Linked DNA regions of Oryctolagus cuniculus. The protein of the gene in region 2 interacts with the protein of the main gene of each other region in a biochemical or structural test. Links are inferred from orthologs where the notes say so. Each region holds a gene or a part of one and is shown on either strand. Other genes may lie near its edges.

Evidence for each region.
Region 1: the proteins of XRCC1 (region 2) and APTX form a complex in vitro, tested with the Homo sapiens proteins (2 studies listed by BioGRID). The link is inferred for Oryctolagus cuniculus from reciprocal best matches to the Homo sapiens genes XRCC1 and APTX.

Annotation. Positions count from the first base shown.
Region 1 is NC_091432.1:196,396,194-196,399,693, reverse strand, and holds part of APTX (aprataxin), read left to right. Parts: intron 1-844; coding exon 845-1,068; intron 1,069-3,500. UniProt on the Homo sapiens protein: DNA-binding protein involved in single-strand DNA break repair, double-strand DNA break repair and base excision repair.
Region 2 is NC_091449.1:12,347,082-12,350,189, reverse strand, and holds part of XRCC1 (DNA repair protein XRCC1), read right to left. Parts: intron 2,733-3,108; coding exon 2,468-2,732; intron 2,195-2,467; coding exon 2,078-2,194; intron 1-2,077. UniProt on the Homo sapiens protein: Scaffold protein involved in DNA single-strand break repair by mediating the assembly of DNA break repair protein complexes. Negatively regulates ADP-ribosyltransferase activity of PARP1 during base-excision repair in order to prevent excessive PARP1 activity.

The DNA.
Region 1 (3,500 bases), on a different chromosome or scaffold from region 2:
AGAGAGGGGGAGAGAGAGAAAGAGATCCTTCATCTGCTGGTTCACTCCAAATGGCTATATTGGCCAGGGCTGGTCCAGGCTTAAGCCAGGGGACCAGAACTTTACCCAGGTCTCCCACATGAGTGGCAGTGGCCCAAGCACTTGGGCCATTCTTTGCTGCTTTTACAGGCACATTAGAAGGGAGCTGGATGGGAAGCAGAGCAATTGGGACTTGAACTCACACTTGATTTGGGCTGCTGGTGTTGTAAGTAGTGGCATAACCCACTCTGCCATAATGCTGGTGCTTCCCTTCACAGATCTATCTATCTGCACATATATATGTGTATATATATGTGTGTGTATACACACACATACACCCAGGATATGTGTGTGTGTATATATGTATATATATGTATATGTGTGTGTGTATGTATAAATCAATCAATCAATCCAGATCTCCCATGTGGGTGCAGGGGCCCAAGTACTTGGGCCATCTTCCACTGTTTTGCCCAGGCCATTAGCAGGAGCTGGATTGGAAGTGGAACAACTGAGACTTGAACCAGCGCCCAAATGGGTTGCTGGCATCATAGACAGTGGCTTTACCCACTATGCCACAGTGGCAGCCCCTCGCCCACAGATTCTTGTTCTGGGTTAGAATCCTAAATTTCCTACCTAGTAACTATGTGTGTTGTAAAAGACACTGGATCTCTGTGAGTCTCAGTGCTCTCATCTGTCAAAGTTGGGCTACAAAACATTTTGTACAAGACAGTGGTGGGAATTAGGTGACTTAATGAATATGACAGCACCTGGTACACAGATAATTCTCAGTAGATGTCTGTTTTCTTCTCTTGTGCCTCTCTGCTAGGTCTACAAAGATGAGCAGGTGGTAGTGATTAAGGATAAATATCCGAAGGCCCGTTACCACTGGCTGGTCTTACCATGGGCCTCCATTTCCAGTCTGAAGGCTGTGACCAGGGAACACCTTGAACTCCTCAAGCATATGCACACTGTAGGGGAAAAGGTGATTGCAGATTTTGGGTCCAGCAAACTCCGCTTCCGACTGGGCTACCACGCCATTCCTAGCATGAGGTAAGCTTGTGGGAGGTCCTGGGGCCTTCTTGTTCTGTCCAGGTGTTCAGGTAGATTCAGCCTGGGCTTGCTGAGTGTGCTGACAGCCCTGAGGCCCAGGGGAGTAGGATGGGATGTTTTCAAGACCTCTCAGCTTGACTTACCTGCAAACCTGCTCTGCCTATATTTCAGTTATGTATGATTCTTTGTTCCTCTCAAAATTCAGACCTTTCAGGACTTCAAATATGAGCTAGATGCAGCAGCTTGATTCCTCTCAGGTGAGGAACTGTGGTCAGTGGCTTTTATCAGATTTTTCAAAAGCATCTGCAGTGCTAAAATGACTAAGGACTGTTGCTCTGAAGGAAACACACACTGTAGGCTTCTTGAAAGATGGCTTAGTAGACCTAAGATTTAAAATAAAGTGAGAGGACAGTAGGGAGTCTGTTCCTTTGACTTATACCCAGAAGGATTTGGAAAGGAATTATTTTTCAAAAGAATGCAAGCAAGGCAGATCTTCACAGTTCCTTTGACCTGCAGAGTAAGATAATGAGACTGATTTCAAGTTTGTACCTTAATTTTATTTTTTAAAGATTTATTTATTTATTTATTTAGGGGCTGGCGCTGTATTTATTTGAAAGGCAGAGTTACAGAGAAGCAGAGAGAGAAAGAGCGGTCTTCTGTCTGTGGGTTTACTCCTTAAATGGCTGCAACAGCTGGAGCTGGGCCGATCCAAAGCCAGGAGTCAGGAACCAGGAGCTTCTTCCAGGTCTCCCACATGGGTGCAGGGGCCAAGAACTTGGGCCATCTTCTACTGCTTTCTCAGACCATAGCAGAGAGCTGGATCTGAAGTTGAGCAGCCGGGACTTGAACCAGCGCCCAAATGGAATGCTGGTGCCACAGGCAGAAGCTTAGTCCCCTAGGCCACAACACTGGTCCCTGTACTTTATTTATTTATTTATTTTATAAAGACTTACTTTATTTATTTGAAAGGCAGAGTTACTGAGATAGGTAGAGAGAGGGGTCTTCCATCCGCTGGTTCACTCTGCAAATGGCCACAATGGCCAGAGCTGAGCTGATCCAAATCCAGGAGCCAGGAGTTTCTTCTGGGTCTCTCATGTGGGTGCAGGGGCCCAAGGACTTGGGCCATCCTCTGCTGCTTTCCCAGGCACATTAGTAGGGAGTTGTATCAGAAATGGAGCAGCCGGGGCTCAAACCGGCACCCATATGGGATGCCAGCGCAGCAGGCAGAGGCTTAGGCCACTATGCCACTGCACCAGCTCCTGTAGCTTATTTTTTAAAAGTTGTGGTAAAATATGCATTAAGTGTGTTCTTTACTGGCATTAAGTATATTCACATTATGGTGCAACCATCATTGCCATCCTTCTCCAGGACTTTTTTCATCTTCCCCAAATGAAACACTGTACCCAGTAAATAATAATTCCCCATTAGACCAACATTCCCCTTTCTGTCTGTGAATGGAGTACAATAGTCTTTCCTCATCTGTGAGTCTGTGAGGGATATATTACAAGACCCCAGGGGGTGCCTGAAACTACTGAGCTCCATATATATATATACTTTTCTTTCTTCTTCTTCTTCTTTTTTTTTTTTAATTTTACTTATTTGAGAGAGTTACAGCCAGTGATAGGGACAGACAGAAAAGTCTTCCGTCCGTTGATTCACTCCCTAAATGGCCACAGTGGCTGGAGCTGGGCCATCCGAAGCTGGGCCAATCAGAAGCCAGGAGCCAGCAGCCTCTTCTGAGCCTCCCACACGGGTGCAGGGGCTCAAGCTCACAGGTGGAGGCTTAACCTACTGTGTCACAATGCCAATGTATACACTTTTTAACAATATGTACATATCTATGATAAGGTTTAAAAAATTTTTTTTTTTTTTGACAGGCAGAGGTAGACAGAGAGAGAGGCAGAGAGAAAGGTCTTCCTTTTTCTGTTGGTTCACCCCTCAAATGGCTGCTACGGCCAGTGCGCTGCGCTGATCCGAAGCTGGGAGCCAGATGCTTCCTACTGGTCTCCCATGCGGGTGCAGGGCCCAAGCACTTGAGCCATCCTCCACTGCCTTCCCGGGCCACAGCAGAGAGCTGGACTGGAAGAGGAGCAACTGGGACAGAATCTGGTGCCCCAACCGGGATTAGAACCTGGGGTTCCGGCGCCGCAGGTGGAGGATTAGCCTAGTGAGCCGTGGCGCCAGCAAGAGAGTCATCTTAACAATGCACTGCAATGAAAGTTATGTACATTTGGTTTTCTTGAGGAGTTAAGACAAATATTAGTATTTTGGACTGTGGTTGACTTTGGGTAACAAAAACAAACTGCAGGTGGGGGGCACCATACTCTGAGTATGTTATATAAATGAAATCATGCAGTATTTGATGTTTTGTGACTGACTTATTTTACTTAACATAATGATGTCTTCAGAGTTTATCCATACTGTAGTATGTG
Region 2 (3,108 bases):
TCGGCTTCTCCTGAGGACTCCTGCCAGCAAAGACACTTCAAAGACCCACGCCGAGCTCCCGGCTCCCAGGGCGCGGGCTCACACCCGCGGCACCCGCCGGCCTGTGGCAGTGTGTTCACGCCGAGCTCCCGGCTCCCAGGGCGCGGGCTCACACCCGCGGCACCCGCCGGCCTGTGGCAGTGTGTTCACGCCGAGCTCCCGGCTCCCAGGGCGCGGGCTCACACCCGCGGCACCCGCCGGCCTGTGGCAGTGTGTTCAGCGTGTGACAAACGTGGGGTCATCCCTGGCCCTCAGCGGGCATCATTTCCAGCTCCACTTTAGAGGTGAGGAAGCCGGGGCACTGAGAGATGGCCAAAGCAGGCGGCAGCAGACAACAGGCGGGCGGCCTCCTGGGTCACACAGGAAGAGCCTGCCACAGGCCTGGGTGGTTCCCAAGCTGGTGGCCACTGCTCAGGGAAGTCCTGCTCATTGCGACAAGAGGCTCCCGGGAGCAGCTGACTGGACCTTTTTCTTCCCGGTGCTTTGTATGCAAAGATTTTAAGAGTTTTAAGATTTATTTTCATTTTATTTGAGAGAGGGAGGGATCTTCCATTGCTGGTCAGCTCCCCAAATGCCCACACCAGCCAGGGCTGGTCCACGTGCAAAGCCAGGGACCCAGAACTCAATCTGGGTCTCCTATGTCAATGGCAGGGGCCCAGCTACCTGACCATCATCTGTGCTCCCAGGGGGCATCAGCAGGAAGCCGGATGGCAAGTGCAGCAGCCAGGACATGACCCAGGCACTTCGACATGGGATGCAGCCATCAAACACTTGTCCCTCGAAGTGTTTAAAAGCCCAATTTGTGATTGAAACAAGGGGAGCCACCCACCAGGAGTCACCCTTCGAGCAGTTGTTTTTCTTTTTTTTTTTTTTTTTTTTTTTTTTTATTTTTGACAGGCAGAGTGGACAGTGAGAGAGAGAGAGAGAGAAAGGTCTTCCTTTGCCGTTGGTTCACCCTCCAATGGCCGCCGCTGCAGCCGGCGCACCGCGCTGATCCGATGGCAGGAGCCAGGAGCCAGGTGCTTTTCCTGGTCTCCCATGGGGTGCAGGGCCCAAGCACCTGGGCCATCCTCCACTGCACTCCCTGGCCATAGCAGAGAGCTGGCCTGGAAGAGGGGCAACCGGGACAGAATCCGGCGCCCCAACCGGGACTAGAACCCGGTGTGCCGGCGCCGCAAGGTGGAGGATTAGCCTGTTGAGCCACGGCGCCGGCTTGTTTTTCTTGAAATGTAAAGTGCAGGGCGCTGTTTTGCAGAGGTTAAGACACTAGGTAGGGGCGCAAAAGGTTAATCCTCTGCCTGCAGTGCCGGCATCCAATGTGGACAATGGTTCAAGTCCCGGCTTCTTTTCTTCCAATCCAGCTCTCTGCTGTGGCCTGGGAAAGCAGCAGAAGATGGCCCAAGTCCTTGGGCCCCTGCACCCACGTGGGAGACCTGGAAGAAGCTCCTGGCTTCGAATCAGGTCAGCTCCGGCCATTGCAGCCATTTGGGAAGTGAACCAGTGGATGGAAGACCTCTCTCTGTGTCTCTCTCTCTCTCTCATTATCTATAACGCTACCTTTCAAATAAAGAAATAAAATATTTAAAAAAAAAATTAAAAGACACTGGTGGTACACCTGCGCCTCCTGTGACGCCAGCTCCTGCAGTGTGCGCCCTGGGAGGCAGCAGGTGACGGCACCAACACTTGGGTCCCCGCCACACACCTGGGAGCCCTGGCTGGAGTTCGCCGCCCTGGACTTTGGCCTGGCCCAGCCCAGAAATAAACAGTGGGATGGGAGCTCTCTGTCTCTCCCTCTCTCTGCTTCTCAAATAAAAACTCCCACGCACTCTGAGTGACACCAACAGGCCCCGGCGCCCCACCCTCCCACGCGGCTCCTCCAGCCAGCACTGTGGTTCCCTTTGCCCTCGGTGACCACCCCGCAGGTGGAGCTCCCCGGCCTCTGCCTGCCCTCTGCCTGTGTTCCCAGCTGACTTCCCCCCGGGTCCGGGCACTTCCCAGGAAGGGGAGGAGAGCATGTGTGTGCACATGGGGGTCTCACCTCCGGGAGGGCAGCCGCCGCCGCATGCGGTGACAGTCTAGTACCCACTCTTTACGCACGATGCGGCCTCCGAGGCCCAGGACCTGGCTGTACTTGGGGGTGTTGGCAAAGGCACAGCTGCAGGGGTAGAGTGGAGGGGTCTGTTAGGTGTGAGCCGAGGGGGAAAGGCGAGGGGGGGGACGCGAGAGGCAAGGAGGGAGGGAGAAAGAGACAGTGAGAGAAATGTGGGCGACACAGAGACAGAGATGGGAAACCACGGGAGAGATACAGACATCAGAGATGGAAGCTACAGACAGACAGTGAGAGCGTGCGTGCGAGCGAGGCAGAGGAGCAGAGCAGGGCGGGGGTGGGGGGAAGGGCGGGACACGGGCAGGAGGCGGCCTGGCCTACATGAGATGGGTGCTGTCCGGGGTCCAGTCTGGCCGGTACTTGGCCCCCAGCTCCAGGGCCTTGTCCCGCAGCTCCGAGCGGAAGGGGTTCTGGAAGCCACTCAGCACCACCACCACCCCTTGAAGGATCTTCCCCAGCTCCTGGGGGCCGGCTCGGGGGGCCCTGGGCTCGGCGCCTTCACCTTCATCCCGCGGCTTCCCCACCACTGCCCCCTGTGCTGCAGCAGGGACGGGGGCCGCGGCCGGGGTACGGCTGGGAGCTGGCACTGTGGAAGCCGAAGTCGAGATACAGTCAGCACCACTGGGCTAAACCTCCAGCCCCTCTTCTCAGACCCAGGGCCCTGGTCCCAGCCCCTCCTCCCTCAGACCTAGGAGTGCAGGCCCCCAGCCCTCCTCCCTCAGACCCAGGGGTCCAGACCTCAGCCCCTCCTCCCTCAGACCCGGGGTCCAGGCCCCAGCCTCTCCTCCCTCAGACCCAGGGGTGCCGACCTCAGCCCCTCCTCCCTCAGACCCGGGGTCCAGGCCCCCAGCCCCTCCTCCCTCAGACCCAGGGCCCAACCCCAGCCCCTCCTCCCTCAGACCCAGGGTCCAGGCCCCAGCCCCTCCTCCCTCAGACCCAGGGTCCAGGCCCCCAGCCCCTCC